Caenorhabditis elegans: one gene and its partners. The protein of the gene in region 3 interacts with the protein of the main gene of each other region in a pairwise test. Each region holds a gene or a part of one and is shown on either strand. Other genes may lie near its edges. The genes, in order: metl-13, pho-7 and rpi-1.

Region 1 (9,930 bases), on a different chromosome or scaffold from region 3:
TCTGCATTCTATTTTCCGCCAACCATGATACAAAACTCATCGGAAAAAGAAAAGAATGTAAACTTTTCGATTCAATCAGCTCATTATCAGTTAAATTTCTCTCTACATCAGCTACCAATCAGTGGTGATCGAAATGATTTATTGCAGGAAACGAGCCACCGGATGGGTAAAGCGAGCACCGACAGGGTGACGCCCTTTGAATTGGTTAAAATTTATTTACTCTTAATGTGATACCAAAAAATTTTCCCGTTTCACATTGCAGATAATTTAATGATGAATGGATAAATTGAACTAGAGCAATTGAATATTTTCTGAGTATAATTATTTTGAAACCGAAAATAGCTATATTCTAGCATCCTTCTTGAAATGAAAACAATACGACCTCGTTTTCAGCAATTGTGACGCCACACACAGTATTGAAATTTTTGTGCACGATATACTTCGCGGTACTCCAAACATTATGATGTAAGGTTACAATATGGTTTTTAATTCTTTTTCATTTAGTTGTCTAGGTATTTTATTTAAGGAAAAATTACGTCGACTTCTTAAAATTAGAAAGGACTACTTTTGGAAAACTTACCCTGTGCCTTTGAACTGACAGCTACCAGCAGTAGCAATACCGCTGTGAGAAGTTTCATCTGAAATCCAAATTATGAGAAAAAAAATTTTACAGCAGGCAATAAATCAAATAAAGAGGAGCTGAAAATGGTAGGTGACTCCCTTTTTCAGTTTCTCTCGTCTGTTATCACAATTTGATTTATTACTTTGATGATAAGAATGAATAGAAGCGACTCTATAACTCCACCTTTAAGTCCAACACTCTTAAACACTACCGTCCCGCTGCTGTTGAGGGAAGTAATGAAAATGGAACAATTGTATAGTGTTTTAACTGTAATTTTAACTTTTGAATTTGACATTATTCTGGCGACACCGAAATGGTACAGGGCGAGAGCAAGTGGGAAGCGATTTTGTTTAAAATTAAAATATATCCGATTTTGAAGGATAAAAAACAAATCTTTTTAAAATCGATAACCTTCGCATTTTTATTTTTATCGTTTTACTGAAAATCGGCTCAATTCTTGAATATTCTGGAGAAACGACTTTTATATGGTCGTTTTTAAAATATCACCAGAAAGAAAATATTTTAGTATATTCCAAAAATTGTTAGTTTGGTTTCCAAAATCTTCTATCAAAAAAAATCAACACAAGTTTTTAATTTCTTCTTTTGAAAATAAAATTACGGTTTCAGTGAGTTTATAAATTCAGATAAATAAACAACGTTTGTTAACACAGTATTATAGGAAACTATTAAAAAACAAAAATTGGTGGCTGATGTTGTTTAGTGCAGGAACTTACGCAATTCTTGAAATTATTTTTTTCAAAGAAAAAAATACCGTTTCAGTGAGTTTATAAATTTATACAACATTTAAAGAAAATCTTAATGTATAGAAGTCCGGATGATCATCAATAACTTTAATATTTGTTTAATAGCATGAACTTTTTTTTGAAATCTCTTCACTTTGGACCTACTAGCACTTTATTACACTCAAATTTTAAAATTTATCATCTTGAATAATAACAGTAACAGTATCATATGAGGGTGTAATGTAGGTTCCTGCATCGAGTTTTGACACTTTTGCAATAATTAACATATCCTTCTTTTTGTCATATGTCGTTTTTGGTCCCACTTTTTTCTTTGTCTGAAATTAGACTTTTTATTTGAGTTCATATTATATATGAGTAAATATCACTAACCTTCACATTCTCCCAATATCCACATTTCGTCTTGTTTTTCCCATTGCACACCCTGAAAATGTGCTCTTGAGCTACTCCTTTTGCATTTTTCACATAACGTGTGATACTTTTTGGTTTGTAGTATTCTATTGCAAGACGAGCTCCTGGCTGAAAAGAAAATAGCTTCGAGCAGTTTAAATTCTGTGAAACTTCAATCGTAGGTTCTTATTGTCTGGCTGTATATAAAAGCAGGCATCTAATTAGAAGGCGATGTAAATAAAGTAGTTTGTTTTAATTAAATTAAAGTTCAACTAGTGAAAGTTTAGAAAAAAACGGTTCATTGTATTGAGGTAGGTACGAAGTAGGCCGGCATTTTTGGGCCTAATTGGAAGGCTTTAATTTCCCTAGTTACCTTTCTTATCATTGTACGTTTTGGTTCAGAACTGGAATCAACTAGACATATTAGCAATAGAAATAGAGAAAGTACAGTACTAACTTGAACCATGATGGCCGCACAAGTGAACTTATGAATTTTATAACCGCACGGTGAGAGGCGGAAATAAAAATTAAAAGATTAAAAAACACAGTTTGATAGAAATTACTCGTTGTCTGAACTTTTTTAGAGATTAATCTATTTCTGCAGTACAGATCACTACCAAAATGAATACTATTTTGTAGAAAAACTGACGATCAAAAATTAAAAGTTTCATATTTTGTGACGGAAAATATTTTTTAGTTCCAAAGTTATTATAGAATAGTTTTGGCCGCATAATCAAATACAGATAATTTGCACAACTTCCTAGTGGAATTCCAAATAGTCTACATCGGAAGTACAGTAGGATCGCGTCGAGATATCGAATATGCTGTTAATAGTTGTTTTTCCTGCAAAGTTGTTTTTCACTGCACCGTGAGAACATTAGACATGTTTGCAAAGTGTAAAACAAAATTCATCAGGTGAACAAACGAAACAACAAACGGGGGAAAATTTGAATAACTGGGAACAATCGAATACATATAATAAAAAATTACTGAAAATAAACAAGATAACAAACGAAATTGTGCAATTAATAATCAACCATACGAATGTTTGAGATAGCACCGACAACCTCATCATAGCTTCCAATATCTTTGCGAACTGTGTTGATTAATTTCTGAGGAACCACTGGTTTTATTGTGTTCTTGGGTGTTTTGAGACCGATGATAATCTGAAAGAAATATATTTGCTAGTAGAATTTCAATAATTAATTTAGTTTACCTCATTAACATCTTCGAAGGACAGAACTGTGTAGAGAGTTGGGAAATACTCTGCGATATTCTTTTTAATCGACTTTCCGAATTCCGAATCGCGTGTAACCAAATTCAAACTAATCATTCCTTGTTCTTTCACCGAGTTTTTCATATTTCCTAGAGCTTCTGGGGTAAGGAAGGCGGATGGTGGGCATTGAAGAGCAGCGTTCTGACTTCCAGAAACATCCACAAAAATCACATCGTATTTCTCTTCTGGAAATAAGAATTGATTTGTAAAATAAAATTTGAACATGATATTTTAAATACCTTCAGGTTTCTTTGCAGTCTCCTGGAGATGAATAAGAGCATCTTGGATGACAACGTCAATTCTAGCGTCCGAATGGGGGAACGAGAAGTGAGAATTTGCGATTTTGAGTACTTCTGGATCAAGTTCCACAGCGGTTACATGAGCCTGAAACGAAAATTTAGCACTGTTAAGTTTCTAGACTTGATTGATACCTTTTTGAAATGTCTGACAAGATATGCAGTCAAAAGTCCACCACCTAATCCAAGAACAGCCATCTTACACTGAGCATCATTCTTGGCTAATGGTTGTTGCGGACTGATGGCTAGGGATCCGATCATCATTCTATGGAAATCGCATGCCAATTGATCGAGATCTATGACCGTTTGCTTCTTCTTTCCGGCTGTAATGTTAATTTTAAATTTTGAGGTGAGCATCATTAAACCGTTCTTTTTTAATTCTGATAAACTACCTCTCGTGTATTAACAAGATGGGAAATGTTATTCTTTTTCCACCGAAAATAATACAGAAGGATGTGCGCCTTTAAACAATACTGCAATTTTCAAATCTCGTTGCTGCTCAGTTTTCATTGATTTTTCAGTTGTAATAAATCCATTTTACTCTTTAAAGGGGGTTGAAAAATGAAATTTTCAACTACTAACTTTTCAGATAAGCTTCAGATTGTACCAGATTCATCGTATTCAGAAAAACTAGTCTTCTAGTTTGATTTCCTTCAACAGTAACTTCTTCAACACTCCAACCACCATTGATATCCGAACGTCCCGTTGAAACGGTTCGCTTAACATCGACTCCTCCGATGGATAGAATTTCGTACTGAAAATCGGGTTTTCATATGTTTCGTGTTCAATTCTACATACATTTCCAGTATTATCTTGTCTAACATCCAGCATTCCAACAAAATGTCCAATATCACTCTTCACACCGTCCATTCCTTTTTCATATTTTTGATTTCTGTTGAGGAAAACGATTGCGAGACGTTCGCGGCCACATTGAACACGAAGAGCTTTTCGTCCCTTTGGTGAGGCGAATAGCCATTCAGAATCACTGAAATTAATATAAGAATTCGAATTTAAAAATGTTTTCTATACAAACCGTCCAATTGGAACCACAAATGCGGCGAATGTGTCAATCTTCTTGGCTTCTGGATTATCAACAACACAGATACGATAACGTGGTCCTAATGATGGATCTGCTCCATGAAAGTCGATTGAAACTTCAGAGTCCAGCTTTCTAAATTAATTTCATTAATTTCAAGGGAAAAACTAAAATGAATTACTTCGAGCACAGGTAGATGAATTGTGAGAGCTCCTGTTCTCCACGAATAGAATCCTTCAATTCGTCAGTGCTATCGATACGATCAGTACGGATGGAGCTGGAGCGAAGAACTTCTAGAGGCTAAAAATATAGGTTTTATTTAAATAAAATAATTTGCAATTTATCTACCTACCAATGGATTTGGCATTGGTGCTCGCATTTTCGTGGCAATAAAGCAGAAAACTGGCATTGGGAATCCAGAAGCCTTGTTCTCAACTTTTTGAACACGTAGGATATATTGCTTTCTGGAATAACGTTTTACAGATTTTTGAGAAAAATGAATATTTTACAATGGATAGAAGTGATTAATCCAGAACTCGGTGATATGTGGTTGAGCCAATGTGACAATGATATATCTTCCACCAGAAGCCAATACACGATGAACTTCCTCGAACATCTTTGTAACCAATGCTTCATCGGATTCTGAAGCTGATGGTGGAAGAAGAGCGTCGAGAGTTCCTTTATCAATTACAATGGTATGTGCTTCATCGGCCATGGATAGCTATAACATATTATTTTCGAATTTCTTTTCTTTTAATTGTTCATTGTGCACAACGGGACATTCTCCAAACTCACATTAGCAGCATCTCCAGTCTCAAAAGTCATTCCGAGTCGTTCTTTATTTTTACGAATCTGTGTGGCAATAACAGATGGTTCTACATCAATACTGTGAATGCAATGAAATCCATTATCGTAGAGTTGGGTCGCTAATTCCGAATTACCACATCCAAGTTGAAGGAACGTGTCTTTCGGTTTCAAATATTTATCAATTACATTTGATAAAGAATTATAGTCACCGTACCTGAAAGAATTCAAATTTTTACATGAGAATCGAAAGCATTCAATTTTTGTGTATGTTGATGAGGAAAAATTTCTATCTAAAAAGAAGAAAAATGGTCAATATTTTAAGTTATTTTTCGAAACATTGATAATTTTTCTTTGACAAATCTGAAAAACACTTGATAGTGATGTGATAATTTTCTTTTAATTTTGTTTGAAAGACATCATATTTTAACAAAGAAATATAATTATTTAATTACCATTCGAATGGAGATTTTCGTTTTGCAAAGAAGTTCTTCCAGTACGCTGGATCCGTGAAAGATTGTGGCTCATTTGGAGCGGACATGGCCTGAAACTATAGAAACTAGAAAAATAATCATTTTAAATACTCGAAATAAAACATGAGGCTAAATGAAAACCAAAGAAAATAAAATTATAATTAAGAAGTAAAAAATATGAGAAACATTCATTATTAAAGTTAAGTAATCTTTTTTGAAAATATATCACATTGAAAATTGATAAACTGTCTTTGGATGATTTTGAAAATCCTGAAAATCCACAACCGGGGAAAAAAATCAAAAAGAGATGAAAGGATGACTAGGACAAATAAAGAGATAAATATTTTGCTTTGTGATTTGAATATTCTGCAGAAATTAAAGAGAAATCGAAGGCACAATGGGGGAAATATATAAAGAGGTCACAAGAAATATTTACAATTTGAATGCAAAAAGTTATATTAAAAAGATCAAATATCATCATCGCTCATTTCATCCAGTAGTCCAGACATTGCTACCGTTCCATTGTTCAGCTGAAAATCTACACATTTTTGAGAACATTTCGGGTAATTTTTTATTTATTTTTTCTTTAAAATAATTTCGAGCGATATTTGATTTTCCGATTATTTCAATATAAAACTCACACTTCCAAGTGCACCACCTCCTGCTTGACTCCTTCTTCCACCTCTTTCTAAATCTATCGAATTCCTTAATCCATCTCCTTCATCCTCATCCTCATCATCATTTAATTCGAATCCTTCGTTCGTCCGGTTACTCAATGGCCGATATCCTTGAACTGTATCGGATCTTCCCCAATTGGGATCAGATTTGAGTACGGTATTCTTACATCCATAAGCGAAGAATATTATAACAATACACATTGAAGGAATTAAAATAAGCGAAAAACTCCATGAATCCTGAAGAAAAATTATGTGCTTTTGATAAGCTTTAGAATTGAGTCAAATACTCTGTGGAATAACCTACCGTAATCTGATTAAATACGAAACCATGTGTCATTGGTAAATATCTGTTCTCTTTTAAAGCTCGTTTCACAATTTCCATGGTTCCATTATTTTCAGTTGGTGTGATACCAAGCACATGACACATTATATTGTACAAATCCACATTTGAAGGAATATCGGCAATCTGAAAGAATATTTATCATACAGTTCTCAAAATGCCTAGCTTATACCGTATAATTTTCAGAAAACGCTGGGCCTCTCATAATAAGGAAAGCTCTCATCTCTGGACGATCAGGATCTTGTCCGTGAGTTGATGAATTGAATTTTAATGTTCCGTTTTCTCCATATTGCCTGAAAGTTGATTTCAATAAACTAATCGTTGTAATATTTTTTCCGGTAAACGGATCAAACTGCCTTTTTTTAATATGATAATTCAAGAAAAAATGTCCCATTCCATCTAAAAATGATATTTGTTTTTGTTGAAAAACTTGACAAAGGTCTCAAATAGTGCCGTTAAAAGTTATTCTGCAAATGACAACATTCGGGCAATATTTAAGGTTTTTTTTCCAATTATTCAACAAAGCTAAATATTATTTTCAGATAGAATGCACCTGTTTCTGCATTACTATTGTTTACGTTTGCCAGAAAAATTTGCCGCACAGCCCGGTTGTAAACCACATACTTTTCCATAAGATCCTTCGTACACGAAAACGAAATCGAAGAACCGATTTGCGGCTCGAAAACGATTTTTCCAATTCGCGAACTGTTTCGATAATGCCATCTTTCTGGAACTTCCTCTCTCCAATGAATATTCACATCATATCCATGCTCTTTCACTGCTGATGTTAAATTTGCATAAATTTGTTTTCCAATTTCATCCGAGTGTGGATAAATCATATGATCACCCATTTCGAATCCAGCGCCAGATACATAATCTTTCACGCACATGACATGTTTGTGATCTGAATTTAGTTTTAGGAATTATGAAGATTTTAATTTCAACTATTTTAAATTATTACCTTTAATTTCTGCATGTCCATGATCAGCTGTTAGGATAATATTCACATCAGCTCCCAAATTATTATCATCGAATTTTTTGATAAAATAAAGAAATAGATCGTCAAGTTTCTTTAATGTTTTCTCAATTTCCTTGTTATGAAATCCGTTTCCATGAAGTGTGTGATCGGGTTCTGCTACATACCAAGCGAGGAAATTAACAGGTTCCTTCTCTCGAATAAAAGCATCGATAACGTCGTCAGCGTCCTTCATCCATGATTTCAGATCACCAACAATTGTCCATGGCCTGAAAAACTGAATTGTCCAAGTACTACTTCTCGTTAAATAAACTTTTCTAAAATTACCTTGCAATTTTAGGCTTATGGGGAATATATGGAAACTGTGATTCTCCATTTGGCCAGTAAAACGCCGCAGATCTTCTGGAAGACTCCCATCGCTCGTTCGTAAGCCAGATGGGATCAGAATTGTACCAGAAACTCTCTTGTGATGCATTCACGACACCTTCTTTTCCGGTAGAATTGAAATAGTCAAATCTGAAAAAAAGAACGTCCTTTTTACATTTTCAAGCAAAAAAAAAACTAACGCTTTTTTGGTATCTGCATCGAAAAAGTAATTTCCGACAATTCCATGTTCTTCCTCGAACAATCCTGTGGCAATGCTCATATGGTTCGGCGCAGTATACGTTACGTACTGCGACTTCACTCCTGAAGTAAACCATGTAGACATTGACGCCCATTTGTGAATATTCGGTGTCTGAAAAATAAAATAAAAGTATTAATTCAGCATTTTCTGCAAATCTCACCAATACTTCATCTAATAAATCGTATCGAAATCCGTCAAATGAGATGAGCAACAATTTCGGATGTCTTGAAAGGCAAGAAACCACCGATATGGCGGAAAATAAAAACAATAGTCGTTTTATAAACATTTTACAAACATCCGGATTTTTGAAGGCCTAAAACCTGAAAACGGTGGCTCTTTGGTAATGGCAATCAGATACTAAAGCAAGATAACACGAACAATTTTTTTTTCACTAAACCATGAAAAACTATTGTAATCATTCGAAAGAAACCGCAGAAAAAGAAAAAAAATATGTGAAGAAAAATAAATACTCCAGTTGTCCGAGTGGAGTACACAACGCGTGGCTGAACTTTCTCCAATTCGCGACCCACGGCCGACCGAAGAAAAAGCGCGCGTGTTCAAATCTGAAAATAACTCGTTTGGCAATTTTTTGAAGATTTATCTTAAGATAAGTACGTTTAAAAATTGACATATATAAATAGAGTTATAATATCGGAATTATTGAGACAACTAAGCTACGAAATTTAAATTCCAGCAATTGTTTGTGTGATATGTCAATAAGATTCACTATCGTAGTCAGACTCTTATCAATTGAACTCAAAAATAATCGATTGTCTTGTTCACTAAAAACAACAGCATTCAAATGAATACTTTGCGCTTGTTACTGTTAATTTTTATAATTAATGCAGCAGATTCTCTGATTATACACACTTCATTTGGTCATTTGGAAGGTGCAGAGATAGGAGATTATCATTTGTTCAAAAAAATTCCATTCGCAAAACCTCCAGTGGGAAATTTAAGATTTCAAAAACCAGAGGCAGCCGGGAAATGGGATGGAATAAGAAGTGCTATTGGTGAGGTCTTATACCGTATTAAAGCCATATAAAGCGATTTTTAAATTAAAAGTTCAGAATATGGCCCAGCATGTATGTCGAATTCTTCTAAAACAAAAAGTCCTCAAAAATGGGTTGATGAAGATTGTCTACATGTTAATATTTTCACTTCAAAAAAGTGTTTGGCAAGTTACCATTTTAATTTGATAAATAAATTCCAATAAATTTCTTCAGAAGTCAAGAAATTGTGCAATAGCAGTGTACATTCACGGCGGAGGACTGACTTATGACAGTGCTGTTATGTTTAATGACACAGTTTTATTGGATACATTTGTGAAACGTGGTAAGGTAATTTTAATTATTATATTACACTATTTTTCCTATAAATCTTGCATCCAAGTTCCTCTACTTTGACAGCTCATTTCTTCTTTGTCTTAGGCATCAAGAAAGGTTTAATCAAAACATTTTCAGCATATAAAATTCGTCTCACATATTTGTTCATTTCTCAAAAGTTGAGCAACTTTTGACAGAGCAGGGGAGTTGTGAAAGACTAATAGGAAATTTCAAAAATATCTGTACACATTTTCCGAAAACATTGACACCTAGAAAATGCGTGTGTTTTTTAGATGTGATTCTTGTAATTCCTGGTTTTCGATTGGGCA
Region 2 (10,174 bases), on a different chromosome or scaffold from region 3:
CAGAGGCTTTGAGCGAGGTCTATTCATCTCGTAAAAGCTGGAATAGCCACATCCCACCCTCAATTTATGGTGTTCTTTCTAAATTACGAAACGAGCCGAAACTGAGACCACAATAATACTCCGAAAGGGTGATGCTGGCAATTACTGGAGAAAGACTCGGTGTGTGCTGAATCATAAAACAAGAAAACATTGTTTCGAGTTTTGAAAATGTATGTGCTTGTGTGTGTGTGTGTGGCAAGCCTAATCGGGTAATAAATGCAAAGTGCAACCGACACAACGGAGAAAATTGAACGGTGTTTTGAAAGAGAATAGGGAGAAAGAAGGAGAAAAATTGTGAAATGAGAAATGGCCACCCATGGAGAAGGTGTATGTCCAATGCAACTGAATGAGAAAATTGACGTCTCAAATGTAACCAGAGGCCATGAAGGAACAAAAAAGAAACGAGCAGCAACGAGAACAAAGGAGCCAAGATGTGCTCAAATTGACAATATTTTCATAATCATCTTCTGAAAAAACTATACTGAATAAACTCTGTTTTGCTCTTTCTTCCCCATTACTGAAAAGTGAAGTACGGCCAGTGGAGAAAAACTGTTCCTATGATACTAAAATTATCCCATATCCTAACAAAACTTTTCAAAAATTTTGCGACTTTTTTTAATTTCGAGCAAAAAAATGAACTGAGTTTTCATCACAAAAAAGTAATTATAATATTAGATATAACTGGTTTCATTGCATTTTTAAACTAATTTAGAGCCTGGTGAAAATGCTTCAAATGTTCTATCTGAAACTTTTTTCACTCAGCTCGATCAAACTTTTTTTTCAAATTGGAAATCAAATTGTGATCCGAGATACATTCCTTCATATTACTTCACAATAATTATCGATTAAAACAAATAGTAGTTATTTGTGTGCCAGATGTTATACAATAAACATGGTTGCATTCATCTCCATCCTTCAGTAGAACTTTTAAATTTTCAAAATTACAGTAATCTCAGTTATTTTTGCTCAATATTTGGCAATTGGCAGAAAACGGTAGGGCAAAAAAAACAGCCTACGAAAAGAAGAAATATGCTAAAATACTGGGCAAAACATCATTGTACAGCTAAGTTAAGTGGGCATTCAAATTAAGTTATAATCAAAGTTCTGTTTTACAAAAAACATTCAGTTCAGCAAATTTCTCTCCGACTCCAACAAGATCTAATACTAAAAAACTCTAACAGCACACTTACAGGTGAAACACCAAGTATAGTGTAATCCAAAAGCAAATCGAAGACAATTAAAAAAAAATACAATTTTTCCATAGAGGATCATTTTGACCAGATAAATTACATGAGAGTAATCGACAGACCGAATCCTTAAGATATTTGGATTACGATTGTTTGGTAACAAGTAGTGAGAATATACCTAATATTACATTTTTAAAGATATGTAATGTGGAAAACCACAAATTTAATGAAACAGAGGTGGTATTGAAAACGAATCAAGAAGAAATAGAAGCAACAACATGTAAGTACATTCAAGTGGATGAGTTCTTCCAAAACGGGGATGGTTGGCCAATTAGCGGATAAGCGTTCGCCCAATGTCCATGAATATAAAAAGAAGGGGAAAGCAGAAGAAGTATTTGTCATAACCATAATAAAGTGGCTGGGGACCAGAAGTACATTTAGACTTGTACAAAACATGGTGGTAATGTGCATAGTTTAGTTGCAGAAGATCGGGGGGTGTTAAAATACATGTGAACGCAGAGAAAACAAAGATTCCAACGGGAGAGCGTGCTTGCGGGCAAAACTTCTGTCGTAAGACATCAGTTGGGAGATAGCGCTGGGCACAAAATATATCCGGGAGAGAGCAGCGGGCCCTCTTCTCACCGCCGATATTCGCCATCATTCGCTCCTCATTTCAATTCGTTTTCTTCTTTCTTTTTCTACCACCATCACGCTTTTTGACTGCGTAATTTTTGCACGGACTGTGTAAAGTGTACCGCTCGTTTAACAATCGCAACTTGAACAATCCGATTAGTGGACAAAGAATTAGATATTCCATAGAGCGCGAAAGTGGGCATTGGTACAAGATCAATTACATAATGAATGAAAGTTACAAAAAGTAGTTACCAGGGATACCAGTTACTATTAAAACTACGCAAAAAATATGTAAGATTAATGTGGAACTTACATGAACTAATACTAATCAAAGACTTATAAAAGAGTTTGAAAGTGAAATGTATCGTAAGTCTTGAAACAATCATTATTTTCAAAGCTTATAAAAAATATGTTCTGCAAAATAAATTTCTCACAAGATTTTTTTTATACGGTTTTATAGCTTAGAAGTTTTTTTTTCAAAAAAGAATTTATCCAAAATTTGAAAAACAGTCAAACAAAAAATAAAATACTGGCAGGAAAAAATAAGTTGAAAAATAATCTCGAATGTTATCAGCTAAAACCAATTTTTCGAGCAATTGGAATGTATATGTACAGCGATAAATCACAAAATCAAAAGCATGACGAAAATGATGGCAAAAATCAAGGTTGACTGACGGGAGAAGGCTGATTCGCATATCTACAAATTCAATATATTTCCAACGGACACTGACCACCCGGTTGTCTTACATCTTCCAAATGCTCAAGACTCTTGACTCGTACACCATTCACCGATTTGATGAATTTGGAAAGATGACAATCAGTCGAACATCCTGGAACAAACATTTCGTGCACGTCATCTGGGTTTTCTGTTGTCGTGTTGCGAAAGTATATCTAAAATTAAATGATTCTGAGTTTGAATTGTGTAATTATTTATTGCAGCCAGAATAATTGGAACATAGTATAATCTTCATTTTCCCTTTTGAATATTTAAAACGAGAACTATTTTTCATTATTTGAATAGTAAATTACTCTTTCTTTGCGTGTGGAGAATGTACTCCATAATTAACTTTTGGTAAAAGCAAGTTGACGAAAAAATTAATAATATATTCAACATTTTAAGAATTAATAAGTGAATATTTTGTAGATTTTTCTGGCTTGGAAAAATATTACTTTTGAAAAATACCATTTTGAAAACCATTTTTAATCACTTTTGGATAAAATTTTTTTTAATTTTTTGATATAAAGTAATTTTCGAAAGGTGTTTAAAAAATTACCATGCGCTCTTCTTCAAAACGAATTCTAAGGTTTAGAAACCCTGGAACTTTTGAATTACCTGCGAGCAATTTTAGCAATACGTTCCCACATTTTTAATGATTTCAGAGAAATATGTAGTTTACGAATTTTCTAAAAAAAAACTTTAAGGTGTCCTTTTGGTCTCTATATACTAAATACTTTTTTGGATACATGATCAATTTACTTTACAAACCTTTACATTATTTCCTGTGTGCAACTCAATCATAATACAAGCAGTATATGGAATCAATTGATGATTACTGATTCCCAATCCATACATGAGAGCAGATAATGTTCCGTCGTGCTGAATTTCAAATTATAAAATTAACAATTACAGTTGTTTATTACCGACGAATATAGTAACGCTTTTTTTGGGCTGATATGTTGCGAAGCTAACACCAAGCTTTCAGTCCAACTGTTGATGAGGTAGCCCGCCCTAAATCAAAAATTCATACTGTTTTATACAAAAATACTTACATGAACTTTGCTTTTGCTCTGCTATTAAACAACTGTAATCTCGCGATTCTTCTTATTTCTGCAATGGTATCGAGAAGGCTCTTTCCATTTACTTTTTCATCTATCCAGTTAGGAAAAGGAAGCCCATTGTAGTGCTGCAATTATCATACTGTAAACGATCTTCTCGAAATAGCGTAATACGACTAACTTCCAGTATGACATTGTAAACATCTTTGATATTTCCGTATTTTGTTTGATGAGAAGTGTGATTTGAAATAATTTCAAGTTCCCTCTTGTATCTGAAAATACTAATATATAGAAGCTCTTATGCAGCAATCGGTCTTTTGTTTGGTAAAAGTTGACTATCATTTGTAGATTTTTTGTATATATTAGTGAGATTAAACAAGAAAGTATAAATGAGTTTTCGAGTATACTAAAAAACCTAATTGAAAATAACTTGGTTAAAAAAATTGACAAAAAAACACAGTTCAAGTGATATGTCACCTTTAAGCGACGATGATATTCTGGAGTGAAGGATTTACAAAGCTTTTTAGCTTTTTAGTCGAGAATTCACAATATTTTTTACTACTTTCACACTCAACATTGAAAAAAAAATCACGAAAAATAGTTCAAACACGTCAAGAAATTGAAAAAAGCTTACAATTTTCACTATGGGAAATTAAAACTAAATTGCTATTTTTCGAAATTGGTAGTAATAAAAAACTACAATTGATATTATTTTTGGTCTGCAAATCTTAAATTCAAAGTTAAATTTGTAAAATGTGAAAACTTCATCAATATAGAAAAAAAGGCATGTTTTTTTTAAACTACCGTATTTCCTCTATTAGTAAGGCATGCAAGCAAAAATTGTCCGAGTTGTACTCATATTTTGCCTATTTTGACTTGTTATACCAAGTCTGTAAAAGTTTTCCTAACTTTTAGAACGATTTTATAATGCAAATTTTGAATTCCTAAAAATAGGGAACAAATGAAGGGGAGCAAAACTATTAAAGGTGCAAAACTAATAGAGTGTGCAAAACTAATTTTCGATTAGTGATTTTAGATTCAAAACTAATGGAGGTGCAAAACTAATAGAGGTGCCTAACTAATAGAAGAAATAGTGTATACCACTTACTAAAATTTCAAAAACTAAAAACCCCCCGGACTCTTACTATTGGCAACAGAAATGGATAAAAATTCTCAAAACGTTAGGAAACTTACTTTACATTGATTTCTGATTCGATTTTCTTTCTTTCTTCTGCAACTATTCTCTGATATGCAGGACATTGAATTTTGCTGGGACGTAACATCTGTAATTTTTTTTAATTCACAAATTTTTCCTGACTTGATATCATACAGGATCAGGCTTTCCATTTGTTCTTATGGGAATTGGTTGCCAAAATCTAAATTTTTCTTCGTTCCAAACTTGCAATCCATCTGGTGGAAATAAGGCAGTCGCCACTGACTGGGCAGTTTCAATCGCACGATCCGCGTCAGATGAGCGAATACTTATCTTAAATAAAATCAAGTGGTTCTATGCATCGCTGCAAAATAAACATTTATTTTTCTCACCTTTTTTCGGTCAAACACGGGAAGTACTGACCCTTGATAGCGTCGTCGTAGAAATTTTCCGAGTTTTGTTGCTTGGTCGATGCCAACCTGCAAGTGAAACAGAAACGAGTGGCGTGTATTTTTTTTAGATTCCAAAAACCAACATTTGTCAGTTGGTTCCATCCGCGGGGCCAGAATGTCTCGTTGTGAGGGTCGCTTGGATATGGTAGGTTCTCCGGTGCTCGATCTCCGTGTCTCCAAACGGCTAGTAGAAACTCAATTTCAGCCGCACAGGGTAACAGTAGAGAACAACAAAATAAGTAAAAATGTTTCATTCTGAAATGATTATGGTTTTTTTTTAAATTTGAAGGAACACTTTTTTAAACAATCACATGAGAATGACAGAGAATCAAGTTAAAACATTTTCAAAAGTTGTAAAAACGTAATTGTTAAATTCAAAACAATTTCAATTGAATTTTTGTACTGTTTACGTGTGATAGAAACTGTAATACTAAGACTATAAATCATAGGCTAAAGACAGGGAAAGAAAAAAAAATCGTAAATTCATACTAAACAATTATTTTTTTCATACATATATTTTTGAACTGAAATTTTTTGGCGAATTGCCTTTTTCGTACTTTGTATTGTTTTCCTATATTTTTCTAAATTCTGTAAAAACAAAATTTTTACAATTAACAAAATACCTAAGTACTGAATTAGAGTAGACTGAATTAAAATTCCTGTTTGAGAAGTTAAAAAGGAAATGCGTTACAATTGAGCAACGATCATAAATTCAACACTTAACAAATACTAGCTTCATCAATGACATACTAATAACTGACAAACTTGAGAAATCAAAAATCTAACCTGTTAATAAGGAAATTCCGATAAGCTATGTCTCATCCCTTGGAACATCTTTTAATCCTATCAATTTCTCAATATACTACCGAAAAACTCAACAAATCCCCCAAACAGAAATGCGATCAAGCACGAAATGTGGCTATGAAAAAGCAAAAACAATTTTGTAGAAACAAGCAAATATATTGAAAGTGTGTTTGTGTAGTAACATCTCATCATCCAACGTGATGTTGTTAAACTTCATTGTTGTGACTCGGCGACAGGCTTTTGAGAAAAATTGGGAGAGAAGTGGGGAAAAATGATAAGCCATGTCTTCCATCATTTTTTTTCGGTTTGGTCTCCAAGTATTTTTCATTTCGTCTCAAAGGTTATGAGAAGATTGAGCATGAAGAAAAAAGAAAGACAAAAGAGCAATTTTATTGAGAGCCAAATAACTTGATTGAACATGTCATTCAAATAAACTAGTCGATGAAAAAAATGGGACAAATGCATCACCTGTTGTTGCTGATCCCAACGATTCATCTTCACATTCACTCTCTAATTTACAAATTAATGATCCTAATATTTTTACAAATTGCTTTGTCTGATTTCATGAATTTAATGGTTTTTTTTTAGATGTATACATACATATTTGTGTTTCTTTCTAATTGTTAGAAATAACCGTAATTTAAAGTAAATGTGTATTTATACGGGACACGGGTGGCTAAGTGTTAGTGGTGTAGTACTGTCACCCAAGAGGTCTCAAGTTCAAGCCCCCCTCACTTGGAAAATTGCTTGGAAATTGGTGGTGAATTTGGTCCACGAAAGGTAAATGGGCCATACCACTAGTCCCGATACGGCTTAAATTAAGACTAGAAAAGATATAAATGCCATCAGTAACCCTCATAAATCTCTTGTTCGCAGGAGGCTTTGTAGGCTCACCCTTGAACCAAACGGACAACTTTTACTTTCGGTGTTTTAGATTGGAGGATAAATTTTGGGAATATTTTGTTAAGCTACGAACAAAAACTCAAATATGGATCAGCATTTCTGCAAGGGTTTGTAATTGAATCTGTTGACAAAATATATTGCATTGTTGTACAGTTCAATAAACCTTTTTTGATGTATTAAAATATTTGAAATATTTAATTCAAAAGCTATTTTTAAATAAAATTATAAAAATTCTTCAACGTTTTAGCAAACACATTCAAAATGAAAAGGAAAGAAATATAACTTATCGCATGTTCCCAGAGATTCAAAAACCGATTATCGCGGCAGAATCGTTGACGGTTTTTCTTGAAAGTTGATAAAATGCGGAAAAGATGAAGTGCGCGGTAAAAAATGAGTTCTATATTAGTGTCTGCAAAAAGGTGTCGGACCCTAAGAAGTACAGATACAAAGATCAAAGATAGTTAGGTTAGAGACGATTGATACATTGTTAAAAAAAAAAGTGATAAAGTGATGAGAATATGTAGTAACAGTTTTTCGTATTTTGGTTATGCTTCAGAAAATACGAATGTGTAGGTGTTCTTGATATATATTTATAAATAGGTTAGGTACTGAACAATGATTCATCAATGGATTAGAACGGCTTATTTGTGATTTTACTATGTTGCAAAATTTCCATCATGACACATTATTGACGAATAGTTCAGTTATAAAATGGATATCTAATCTAGGAATGGTCAAGATACGAGCAAAAAGCATAAAAACATTTCCTTGAAAAATTACACTTGAGAGTAATATTAGAAGTCGAACGTCTTCACAAAAACGCGTTCATTTGCTGTTCGGCCAGAAAAGTACTAATAACAGGAAAGCGATTAGTTCAAAAGTAATTATTCAAACTCTCTGGTATGATGTATTAATGGAAGCCTGGAAGGAAAAATAATTTGATTAACCAAAGTCAATATTACAAAAACGATGTCAAATCGCTCGCTCTTTGATTTCCCCGTTTTATGATTCCCGCGGTATTATTCCCGCGGTTTCCATTTCATGACCGCCGTCGCCCCATCATTTACATAATTCGATCAACTCTTCCGTATATAAGACTATTTCTTGGCCTCTTGCAGCACCCCTCAATCATTCAGTCAATCATTCAACCAACTTGTATTTGCTATTATTATTTAATAAATATTACTTTGGGAATCACGTTTAAGATCTTAACCTGTCCTCAGGACAATAACGATGATGTCTGAAAATATAAAAATAAATATCTGTATGTACAAAAATAACCAAGCTTTATGAATGCGATCTTTTTTCCAACGCTAATATTTTTCTTCTCACGTTTCTGAAAAAACCCGTTTGAAAATAGAATTTATCATTTATATATTTTTTAACTTGTAACACTGTTTATGTTCTTTATGCATATTGAAACTGTTTCAGTACGTACCGAATCTATAGACGCGCCGAGGCCAATAATCGATAATACAACGAGGTGGTCCATATTGTGCGAGTAACTTGTGACTACCTGTAAGAAAACGGGCTAAACGGAAGAACAACGTTCAAAAAATAATTCATCCCTCCAAAATCCACAACAAACGGTTTGCAATGTATGCATATTTATTTATAGGCGTTTTTCAAATACATTGGGTACATAAGAGATCTTGGTCAATCTTTCACGAGAGGAGAGTAGAAAAATATGTTATAACATCACATTAAGAGAATAATCTGGTGGAAAAATCAAAATAATCACTAGTAAAGGTGACGAAAAAAAAAAATTTAAATTACAATTTTTTAATTGCCGAAGAGAAACTTGTTTTGAATTCAGATAGGGCAAGAAAATATGGAACATTTAGTAAAGAAACTATTATAGGAATCGGAAACTCTGACACATCCTTCAAGATCTACATGGAAAGTAAGATGTGCCACAAATGAAGATGTCGAGGAAAAGGATTTTGTTCTTGAAGGATTTTGACGATGGCAACAAGAAATATTGGGTATTGCACCCTTGTAGTACAACGAGTACATATGTTCTATCATGTTTAATCAATGAGTTGTATGAATCTCCTAGAAGGGGGAGATAATTTAGATAATGGAGGGGTGCATATACTACATAACAATTAAAAATAGCATTGATCCCATGTTATCTTCTGCTGACAGTCTAAACAACTGATAATTGTATACCTGCATCTGATTCTATTTTTAGTTTTACCTATAAATCAGCAAACTTGGTTAATAAATACCAATATACTTTAATGAAAATTCGTGTTAAGGAGTGGTTTTCTGAAACTGTACAACACTTTGATTGAAAGCTTGTTTGAATGTTAACTGGCTTGTATGTTTTGATGTTATATTCAATGGGCTGTGAAACAACTTTATTGTAGAATTTAAGAATAAAAATTTAAACCACATTGAAAATGCAAATTATGGCAGTGAATGCTATTAAAACATAAATTTCAAAGATAAAACAAACTTTAATTTAACCTATCGTTGAAAGGCATTTGCATAATGGAAGACGTGAAAAATACAATTAATTGACTAGATATAGAGATTCGACTATTTGAGGCGGTGTTGTATGAAAGTATTGAATATAAGTACAAATTGAAAAACATAAATATGAAAGAAATGGGCGATGTAACCCTGTCTGACTGATTTTTTTTAACACAAAAAATTAGCATGGTGGCTTTGGTGGGCACTGAGTCAATCCACGGCATTGCTGGGATTCTTCGGCAAGACCGATGCAGTGACATCCGGATTCTCCAACACATTGACGGCTTCTGTAAGATATAATTCAGATTCTTAACATGTCTTCATCAAAAACTATTTCAGACCTAGATTGTACTCCAACTTCGCATGCAAGTTGTGTTGAGCATGGACTCCATTCGCACCTGGACATTTGAAAAAACTAATTAATACCAATGTAACAGTTTTAACTACCAAGTATTCCAAGCGCATTGAGGAGCACATGACTGACTGTTACATTCCTTTTCTTCACGATCTGGTCCATCGCAGTGGCATGATGAATCCGGACTTCCAGCGCTGTTCAAACATGTACGAGTGCGAATTGACTGTAATTCATTATTACCCCGTTCTGAACATATATTCAATATATCTCACCTGACCACCCCCGCATTCCTTGTCGCACATGGACCAGTGACACCACTCAGACCAGTTGCAGCAAGATTGCCCTTCGCAAAGGGTAGTTTCAATACTTGGTCCTTGGCAAGTAGTGGCTTCTT
Region 3 (10,288 bases):
TTCCCCCTTTCCCCCAACATGCCGAAATATCGATTTGCACTATTTCTTCTAGTTCTGACAATTTCCGACTCAAAAGTTGCGGGCTCAGAGCAAATGGCTTGTACTACGAGTAAGTCATGCAACACTACTAGAGGTTCAGATTTTTTTTCAGAGGAGGAGCCAATTCTGGTGAGCGGCTCGATCAACAAGGCATTTACTATGCAAATTACTAATAAAGTGAAGAGCTGTAATGGGTACTGTGTTAGGTAAGGATTTGGCAGAAATGATATAATTTCGCATAATTTTTCAACGAGAAAAGTCAATTTTCTAGCCCAAGATCACTTTTAGAGCAAAAATAAACTGAATTTTCGAGTTCTCCATAAGAAATTACCCCTAGAAATTAGGTTTTAACAATGTAGTGCAAAATTACGTAAGATACGATGTGCGGTACGCAAACACGGAGGGCGACTGCAGAGGGGTGGGGGGTGATGTACCCTGAGGTGCCGGAAAGTTCTGAAAATTGGGGGATATGTGTAATTTTTTGCGGAGAATTTGAATTTGTAAATGGGGTTTTTCAAAAATTTCCAGCAAACTGGTCTCCCTGGACGCAACCATGGCCGACGGAAATCAAGCCCACATTCGAAATGTGCATTTTTCATGCGTTCCTATCGTGGCGAAGGCGATCAAAATGTGCAGTGTAATAGCAAAATTTCCAGAAAAATCGGAAAAAAATCTGGATTTCCAGAAAACATGCACGACGCAGATCTACAAAAACGAAAAATCAAGCAAGTCGATTGATCGAAGTGTTGGGTCCTTGAAACGAGTTTTGGTCAAAGAGATTGGGGTAATATAGGCTTAACATTAAGAAAATTGTGCTTAATATTTATGGTGGGCGGCATACGATTTTGTCCGGCAAAACGGCAAATTGCCGGAACTGAAAATTTTTGGCAAATGGGCAAATTGCCGGAATTTAAAATTCTGGCAATTCGGCAAACCGGCAAAGTGCCGAAAATGAACATTTCTAGCAAATCGGCAAACCGGCAATCTGCCGGAACTTAAAATTTCTGGCAAATCGGCAATTTGCCAAAAATGAAAATTTCTGGCAAATTGGCAAACCGGCAAATTGTCGAAATTGAAAATTTCCGGCAACTTGCCGATTTGTCAAACGGCAATTGCCGCCAACCCCTGATGTGCATGATAATTTTAAGAAATTGCAGTTAATTTATTATTTTGAAGAACAGAATTTGGGAAACAAATTTTGAATTTTTAATTCAAAAAAATTGAATATTGCAATATATTGGAACTATTAATCAAACTCTAATTATTGGAAATTTAAAAAAAATTCCAGGATTTTTCTTTCGAGAAAGCCGAGGAGAAAACGTGCTGCTGTAAGGATGCAAAATGTGCCCGACGAATGGATGCCACGATGCGTCTGAATCTCCGTTCCAACTATAAAATACATTAATTTTCCGAAAATCAATCTAATAAATCATTTTTCAAAATCGACTTACATTAGATATGCCAAAAACAAAACAAAAAAATTTTACCAAATTGTTTTTTTCAATTTAAAATTTCTCATCCCTTTCTAAAATTACAAATTTCCTCCCAAACCACCTACTAAATCACTTCAAAAAGTGTTTCAATTGGTTTTGTTTCCCACCAAACATCTGCGTCTCCCTCTCCCGCACACACTCTCCCACCGGCTCCGGAGCCAGCTCTTGCGCGTGCGGTTACCATGGAGATGCCCATATCAAAAGCGATAACGCTTTTTGTGTTTATGTGAATGTGTATGTGTGTGCACCACCACTTCGGAGCACACGTTTTGCTCTTTTTCTATTCGAAAACGTATAGCTCATTATCTGGAGCTCTCTTCGTTTTTAATCTCGTGACACTGAAGCTAATTATGAGTTTTATGAAATGATGATGATGATGACTAGACGAGAATGTACTTTTTGATCTGATATGTATACTTTTTGAACTTTCATAGTTTGTAGTTTGTAGGTTGTAGTATGCTCCTAAAATACCTGCCTACCTCGTGCCTATCTGCTATAGGTCTGTAGGTGTCGTCACATTACCTACCTGGCCACTAAAAGGCCAAAAAAAAACTTTAAAAAGCACAGTCCAAAATTTCCTTATTTCATAAAGTAGTTTGTAGATTATAGTTTGTAGTTTGTAGTTTGTAATTTGTAATTTGTAGATTGTAGTTTGTAGGTTGTAGTCTATAACAGTCCTAGTTTTTTCCTAGTATTAGAGGCTAAAAGTCTAGTGTATAATAGTGTACAACATGAATCGTCATGAATGCCATTTTACCTTAAAGCAGTTTATAGTTGTAGTTGGTAGTTTGTGATTTGTAGTTTGTAGTTTGTAGTTTGTAGTTTGTAGTTTGTAATTTGTAATTTGTAGATTGTAGTTTGTAGGTTGTAGTCTATAACAGTCCTAGTTTTTTCCTAGTATTAGAGGCTAAAAGTCTAGTGTATAATAGTGTACAACATGAATCGTCATGAATGCCATTTTACCTTAAAGCAGTTTATAGTTGTAGTTGGTAGTTTGTGATTTGTAGTTTGTAGTTTGTAGTTTGTAGTTTGTAGTTTGTAATTTGTAATTTGTAGATTGTAGTTTGTAGGTTGTAGTCTATAACAGTCCTAGTTTTTTCCTAGTATTAGAGGCTAAAAGTCTAGTGTATAATAGTGTACAACATGAATCGTCATGAATGCCATTTTACCTTAAAGCAGTTTATAGTTGTAGTTGGTAGTTTGTGATTTGTAGTTTGTAGTTTGTAGTTTGTAGTTTGTAGTTTGTAATTTGTAATTTGTAGATTGTAGTTTGTAGGTTGTAGTCTATAACAGTCCTAGTTTTTTCCTAGTATTAGAGGCTAAAAGTCTAGTGTATAATAGTGTACAACATGAATCGTCATGAATGCCATTTTACCTTAAAGCAGTTTATAGTTGTAGTTGGTAGTTTGTGATTTGTAGTTTGTAGTTTGTAGTTTGTAGTTTGTAGTTTGTAATTTGTAATTTGTAGATTGTAGTTTGTAAGTTGTAGTCTATAACATTCCTAGTTTTTTCCTAGTATTAGAGGCTAAAAGTCTAGTGTATAATCGTGTACAACATGAATCGTCATGAATGCCATTTTACCTTAAAGCAGTTTATAGTTGTAGTTGGTAGTTTGTGATTTGTAGTTTGTAGTTTGTAGTTTGTAGTTTGTAGTTTGTAGTTTGTAGTTTGTAATTTGTAATTTGTAGATTGTAGTTTGTAGGTTGTAGTCTATAACATTCCTAGTTTTTTCCTAGTATTAGAGGCTAAAAGTCTAGTGTATAATCGTGTACAACATGAATCGTCATGAATGCCATTTTACCTTAAAGCAGTTTATAGTTGTAGTTGGTAGTTTGTGATTTGTAGTTTGTAGTTTGTAGTTTGTAGTTTGTAGTTTGTAGTTTGTAATTTGTAATTTGTAGATTGTAGTTTGTAGGTTGTAGTCTATAACATTCCTAGTTTTTTCCTAGTATTAGAGGCTAAAAGTCTAGTGTATAATCGTGTACAACATGAATCGTCATGAATGCCATTTTACCTTAAAGCAGTTTATAGTTGTAGTTGGTAGTTTGTGATTTGTAGTTTGTAGTTTGTAGTTTGTAGTTTGTAGTTTGTAGTTTGTAGTTTTTAGTGTGTAGTTTAAGAATTTAAAATTTTAAAATTTTTTGTAGTCGCGCGTTGCACTCAACAAAAATCGGGGCTAGCACGATATGAATGACTGCCTTCTGGTGGAAGAAGTATTTAAAATATTTAAAATTCTTGGCCACCGATGTTTTTCTCGGCCACGTCGCAACTCCCGCTCTGTGACAAATTTTGAATGACGTGGCTTTTCCCAACAGCACCCCCTTATTAGATTCTGCTCAAACTTCCAAACTTTCCAAAAAAAACTTCAACAACAAACATTTCCAGGTGATTCTGATTCTGCAGTGTGTGATTTGTGTGCAGAATGCCAACTCCATCGACAAAAAAGAAGGTGAAAAAGGTGGCAGAGGATCCGTTATCTTCATCGGGAGTCTCTTCGCTATCCGGCATTTCTTCGTATAATATTCGCAAAATTTCGATTTATAAAAATGGAGATAGGTATCATAGAGGTGTTAAGGTAACGTTACACCTATGAGTTTTTTCAAAAATTTTCAAAAAGTTTTGTAGTTTGTGATAAATCCACGTGTGATAAAAGATATGGAGCCGCTGCTCAATCAGGTCAACGATAGAATCGAGCTTTCACATGGAGCCAAGAAATTGTACACTACGGATGGAAAAATTGTGAACTCGATCAAGGAGTTGGAAGATGGAAAGGTAAGGGTCGGGACATGCCTGCCTACGTGCCTATAGTAGGTGGTTTCAGATCTACGTCGCCGCGTCCGCCCAATTCATCCCAATGCGATATGGAGAGTTTGCTGAAAAAGTCTGGAAACCGCCAAGCCGAAAGCACAGCCCCATCATGAGCTCCGACCGAATAAAGACAGCAAGGACGCGGAGCCAAGATCCTAGTAAACGACGACAGCCGCAGAATTCTGGGAGCTCTGCTCCGACGGGCTCTGGTGTGCAGAGAAGTCGATCTGTGAGGACACTGGCGGAGGATCGGAAGTCTCGGAGAGACGCAAATCCAGCTCGTCCAAACGTCAATGGAGCTTCAAATGCTCCGAAGAAGTTTGATGGAGCACGACCGAAGGCTCCACCAGCAAGACAGACGATTCCAAAACCTAAGAAGATCCTTACAACGTCTACAACCAACAAAAAACCACCAACACCAAAGCGAAAAGTATCCAAAAAAGTGCTGGGCGCTGCTGCAGCGGCCGGCGTTACAGTTGTCGGAGCAGCTGCAATTGGAGCCGTGGCTGCCGCCAAGCGATCAACGCCGAAGCCTATTCCGACAGCTGTATCGGATGTTTCCACAGCTTCATCGATTCCTATACCGAATGTGACAGGTGCAGCTGAGATTCTGGAGTTCCCGGAGGAAGAAAAGAAAATCGATATGGCAACTATACATCGGACCCCAACGCCTCCAGTGGTCGCGTCGAGGCCAGCGACTGCGAAGGCTCCGGGGACACCTGCAAACAGGTCAGCGACTGCGTTGGAGGCTAAGAGTGTATCACAGTATGTTTCCTAGATGTAACCTAGCCGGAGGGTACTAGAAAACCATAGATCATGATCATGAAAAGATTATGCTTAGATCTTTAGAATTCTAAATTTCCAGACAACCAACTCCGGAGAGCTCGGAGGAAGAGGAGGATGAAGGCAATGGAGACGAGGATGACGATGAAGAAGTGGAGGATGATGAGGAGGATGCAGGATCGGATGAAGCTGAGGAAGAACCATCGGATGAGGAGGAGGAGGACGAAGAGACGGAGGAGGAGGAGGAGGAGGAGGAGGAGGAGGAAGAGGATGATGATGAGTCAAGAGTGGAGACACCTGCTTCCAGGAAGTCTTCTTCAGCTGTTTCGTGAGTTTTTTGAATGAGTTATAGGTGTAAATAGGAAGCTTTTGGCGATTGAGTATGCCACAAACTTTTATCGGAGTGCTTTACACTGCAACTTTTTCCTCACGAGGGACGAAGAAAAGTGGTTTCTAGGCCATGGCCGAGGGGCCGACAAGTTTCAGCGGCCATTTATCTTGCTTTGTTTTCCGCCTGTTTTCTTTTGTTTTTCACAGCTTTTTCCCGTTTTTTCTTATTAAAACTGATAAATAAATACTTTTTGCAGATGCTAAAACATTTTCCAAGTAAAAAAATTATGTATTCAGTGGGCAAGCAGCGGTGAAAGTGGGCATTGTAATATGATGGATTACGGGAATACAGAACCTAAACTTTTTCTGAAACATGATACATATGATGCTTAGATGCTGAAATTACCTGATTTTCATAACGAGATCGCTGAAAAAGTTTTGAGGTTTTCAAAATTCAACTTTTTGTGCGAAAATCTCGACTTTTTCACCAAAAAAGTTGAATTTTGGAAAGCTCAAAACTTTTTCAGCGGTCTCGTTATGAAAATCAGGTAGTCTCAGCATTTAAACAGCATATGTATCATGTTTCAAAAAAAGTTTAGGTTTTGTATTCCCGTAATCCATCATATTACAATGCCCACTTTCACCGCTGCTTGCCCACTGAATACATGATTTTTTTTAAATGGAAATTGTTTTAGCATCTGCAAAAAATATTTATTTATCAGTTTTATTAAGAAAAAACAAAAAAAAATCGATGAAAAACGAAAGAAAACAGGCGGAAAACAAAGCAAGGTAAACGGCCGCTGAAACTTGTCGGCCCCTCGGCCATGGCCTAGAAACCGCTTTTCCTCGTCCCTCGTGAGGAAAAAGTTGCAGTGCTTTAGAAAATTGGCACCTTACTGAAGAAACCTAGCGAATTTCTGACAGAAGTTGGGAATTTTTCTGGATGCAACACGTGATGTCAGACTGTCTCAGATCTACAAAAAATGCGGGAATTTTTTACCAGAAAAATTGTGATGTCAGCATGCTCGTAACCATGCGAAATCAGATGAGATGTCTGCGTTTCACCTCCCGCATTTTTCGAAGATCAAAGCGAAATGGGACTTTCTGAACCTAACAACTTTCTGAAGAAAGTCGGCAACTTTTTGAATACATCTAGTAACTGTCTGATAGCACGATAACAGTAGGCACCTTTCTGAAGAAATCTACCAACCCTTGTGAGAAAATGACAGTTTTTGAAGTTAGTGGACAGACGTGCATAAAATTTCACTAGCATAAACTTTCTCCAAAATGTTGTCACCTTTCTAGCGATAGTTGGTGGATTTTCCGGCCAACTTTCGGTTAGCTCAGAAAAGTACAAGAAAGCCTGGAAGTTTCAAATAGCCAAGATATGGGCGAAGTCTGTGTTCTGTAATTTTGTTTTTAATTTGATTTAGTTTTCAAAGGGTTTTCAGCTGAAAATGGGAATTCCCAGAAATGTAATATCTCGATAACTTTCCAAAATAGGCTCCGCCCATTTCTTGGCAGTTTTTTTCTAGTTGAAGAAAATCTGAAAATCTGAAAATCCTACTCTAAATAAATATAATTTCAGATTTTCCGGATCCACTGAAGAAGACCACAAGAAAGGAGATGAAGCCAAAAAATGATTGATTTCTCTGTGATTTTTTTTTCAAAATATTTTTCCCTTCAACTTATCCCTCTTCCTCGTCAACATTTTTCTGTCAAAAATCTCCTCACTTATTAATAAATGGCTAGACTTTCATCTTTCAACTTTACATGACTTTTTCGCAAAAAAATTTGGAAAGTTCATACATCATTTCAAAGTCAAAAATTTTGAAATTCTCTTATCAATTTTTTTTACAGAAAAAAGTCTTGAAAACTCACGTAACACAGTTTTGTTACGGATATTTGTTGCATAAAAAAGTAGGTAGGTACTAGGTACGTATAAGGTAGGTACGTATAAGGTAGCTACGTACTAGGTAGGTACTATGTAGGTACCAGGTAGGTACTTAGTAGGTACTAGGTACGTGCTAAGTAGCTACCAGGTAGGCACACCATAGACACTTTTTAGGTAGTAGGCAGGTACTAGCTAGGTATTAGCCAGGTACTAGGCAGGTACTAGATAGGTACTAGGTAGGTACGAGGTAGGCATTTAGTCACAATTGTTTTATTAATCCGAAAACTTTACTATTTCTGGCATTACACTTTTCACTTTTTTTGAACTTTTCAGTATCTACAACTCTCAATCAAAATTTGTTTTTTGCTCATTTTATCAGTACTTTGTTCGGGGGAACTTAACTCGGACAAGACGTCCATTGCTGACGCGTTTCTCGTGCGTACTTTGCAGACCGAAACCGGGTGGGTTGATGAGATCAGTGATAGACACCAGTTTTATCAATTCTGTCTCTTTGTTTTGTGTATTGATTTTTTTTTGAAATTTTTTTTTGAATAGAAAGTCGCAATTTTGAATTTTGCTTTAAGTTGGTATGATCTTTATGTTTTTCAAAAAGTTGTGGTGAATTTAGAAAAAAATAAATAAAGTTCCAGAAATGCGGAAAATGATGCAAAATCATCAGAACACACGATTTTATTTCTCTGCATCACTAATTCTCTTTAATGATAAAGAGATGGGAAAAAGATCAAACTATCACCACCTGTTTGTTTCCCAAAAGTCAATTTTGCAACAAAAAATAAATTTAAAATTTAAATTTTATCTGTATTGATAACAGATATGAAAAAGTTGTCAACTATCAAAACCTAGAAAATTAAATTTTTTAGGTACTAGGTAGGTACAAGGTAGGTACTTGGTAGGTACCATGTTGGCACTAAGTAGGGTCTAGGCAGGTACTAGGCAGGTGCTAGATAGGTACTAGGTAGGTATTAGGGAGGTACTAGGAAGGTACTAGGAAGGTACTAGGAAGGCACTAGGTAGGTACTAGGTATGTGGTAGGTAGGTATTAGGATAGGCACTAGGTAAGCACTAGGTAGGTCTTGAGTTGGTACTAGGTAGGTACTATTTAGCCACTAAGTTGGTACTTGGTAGGCACTAAGTAGGCACTAAGTAGGTACCAGGTAGGCACTAGGTAGGCACTTTTTTCTTGTTCCTGATCACCCAGAAGCCAATCATAATCCTATTACAGTTTGGTCACAGTTTAACAAATGATAAAAATCCTCGAGTCAACAAAAAGTGTAGTCAATCGTCTACCTTTTTTGCATTTTGTGCTCGATTTTCTTGATTTATTGATGAAACGTCAATAAATAATCCCTCCGTTATCACCACCATATTTCACTGAATTCTTGCATACCCCTTCTGTGTTAGGAGCCGCGCTGATAACGAGCTCATTGAGCCCTCCGGGGGCTTCTCACACACTCGAACTTGATTTTATTAGTTGTTTGTGCACGTTTTCATAGGTAAAATTTGAAATTCAGAGTAGCTTTTGGTGGATTTTTTAAAGCATTACCGGATGATGGGGATCTCCTGACACGGTTTGTGACAGTAGAGGTAGGTATTTTTAAGTGACAACATAAATTTTATCAGTTCTACGTGAACTTTTTGGTATTTTTATTGGTAATAGTTGGCCTGCATATATAGGTACTAGGTGGGCACTAGGTAGTCCCTAGATAGGCAGTAGGTAGATACTAAGTAGGTACTAGGTAGGTACTAGATAGGCACTTGAAAGGTACCACATAGGTAGGCGCTAGATGTGCACTAGGTAGGTACTAGGTAGATACTAGGTGGGTATATTAGATAGGCACTAGGGCGTTTTGGTACACAGTTGTAAATAGGTAGGTACTGGGTAGGCACTAGATAAGCACCAAATAGGTAAAATGTAGGTATTAGGTAGGTACTAGATAGGTACTTGGCAAGTAATATACAGGCGTTTACAGTCTTTCAAGCAGGCAGGCGTTTTTGAGACGCCTATAGGCACTGACATAGATTCGGTAAGGATTCTGTGTGACCTATTTAGACACTCACAGTACCAGCCTACCTCATAGGCCTACTTTTTGCCTGCTTGCCTACCTACCAGTATCAAAAGTTCATAGTGCAAGTGTGCTCCACCGCACCGGTGTGTGACCAAAGTGTGCTCTGAAATAGTGTCCTGTTGTTATCGGGAGAGTAGAAGAGTGAGAGCAACACAAAATGCACAGACAAGGCTCGAGAAGTACCTGTCTTCCTACAAATAATTGTTATCAGCACCGTCTCTCTTTTTCTCTCCAACCAATCAAACGGTTTCAGTTTTTTTTTCCTTTTTTTTCGGAGTTTTCCAGCCGCTTTTTATGGTAGTTTTATGATTAGATGAATTGGAATTCATTGTTTTTAATTTTATTGATTTTTTCATTTTGATAATTGTGAAAAAGTAATACGGAGTGTGTAAAAAGTTCAAAAATCCAGTTTAATGAAAAGTAGAATAAAATTTGTTTTTGAAATAGGTTGAGGGTTGTTTAAAAATGTTCAATATTTCCAAAAAGTGTCTCAAAAAGTCATACTAAATTTGTCTAAAACTTTGTAAAATGTTCTATTTTGAAAATGAGAATTTGTTGAAATATCTGTAAAGCAAATAAAAAAAACCAGAAGTGAAAATTTACAATTTTTGATTGTGTCAGCAGTTTTCAAAAGACCTATACTAAATTTTTTTTTTCATTCAATTTTGCTCCGTTAGAAACTTTTTGGTTTCAAACCATTTAGGAGCTACAGAACATTACTTTAAACTGCAAAATGGTACAAACATAAACAAAAAAAAACATAAATAAATTAAACGTTTTTTTATAAAACCAAAAACAGCAGAGATTTAAGCTATCAGATTTGAGTTTTTTTTTTGATTTTTATTTTCTAAATA

Evidence for each region.
Region 1: the proteins of rpi-1 (region 3) and metl-13 interact in a two-hybrid assay, tested with the Caenorhabditis elegans proteins (one large-scale study listed by BioGRID).
Region 2: the proteins of rpi-1 (region 3) and pho-7 interact in a two-hybrid assay, tested with the Caenorhabditis elegans proteins (one large-scale study listed by BioGRID).

Annotation. Positions count from the first base shown.
Region 1 is NC_003282.8:6,630,888-6,640,817, reverse strand, and holds metl-13 (Methyltransferase domain-containing protein), read right to left. Parts: upstream 5,730-9,930; 5' UTR 5,727-5,729; coding exon 5,641-5,726; intron 5,403-5,640; coding exon 5,177-5,402; intron 5,103-5,176; coding exon 4,891-5,102; intron 4,846-4,890; coding exon 4,734-4,845; intron 4,682-4,733; coding exon 4,563-4,681; intron 4,517-4,562; coding exon 4,379-4,516; intron 4,331-4,378; coding exon 4,144-4,330; intron 4,100-4,143; coding exon 3,928-4,099; intron 3,669-3,927; coding exon 3,481-3,668; intron 3,434-3,480; coding exon 3,289-3,433; intron 3,235-3,288; coding exon 2,990-3,234; intron 2,940-2,989; coding exon 2,799-2,939; 3' UTR 2,663-2,798; downstream 1-2,662. Other genes in the region: kola-3 (EGF-like domain-containing protein), read right to left, coding at 581-638; C01B10.7 (TransThyretin-Related family domain), read right to left, coding at 1,554-1,700, 1,756-1,902, 2,147-2,239; C01B10.9 (Bis(5'-adenosyl)-triphosphatase), read right to left, coding at 6,126-6,188, 6,300-6,572, 6,640-6,801, 6,848-6,968, 7,300-7,579, 7,637-7,920, 7,979-8,167, 8,218-8,387 and 1 more; cest-5.1 (Carboxylesterase type B domain-containing protein), read left to right, coding at 9,079-9,289, 9,347-9,453, 9,503-9,611, 9,895-9,930.
Region 2 is NC_003284.9:10,935,861-10,946,034, forward strand, and holds pho-7 (Lysosomal acid phosphatase), read right to left. Parts: upstream 5,496-10,174; 5' UTR 5,495-5,495; coding exon 5,324-5,494; intron 5,268-5,323; coding exon 5,181-5,267; intron 5,122-5,180; coding exon 4,966-5,121; intron 4,919-4,965; coding exon 4,830-4,918; intron 3,908-4,829; coding exon 3,817-3,907; intron 3,764-3,816; coding exon 3,630-3,763; intron 3,589-3,629; coding exon 3,501-3,588; intron 3,457-3,500; coding exon 3,346-3,456; intron 2,751-3,345; coding exon 2,607-2,750; intron 2,557-2,606; coding exon 2,482-2,556; 3' UTR 2,334-2,481; downstream 1-2,333. Other genes in the region: T21B6.3 (Apple domain-containing protein), read right to left, coding at 9,607-9,712, 9,767-9,823, 9,873-10,003, 10,053-10,174.
Region 3 is NC_003280.10:13,956,047-13,966,334, reverse strand, and holds rpi-1 (Protein rpi-1), read left to right. Parts: upstream 1-3,915; 5' UTR 3,916-3,954; coding exon 3,955-4,107; intron 4,108-4,157; coding exon 4,158-4,304; intron 4,305-4,353; coding exon 4,354-5,105; intron 5,106-5,205; coding exon 5,206-5,451; intron 5,452-7,041; coding exon 7,042-7,096; 3' UTR 7,097-7,212; downstream 7,213-10,288. Other genes in the region: W07G1.7 (uncharacterized protein), read left to right, coding at 19-109, 152-245, 568-676, 725-823, 1,328-1,444.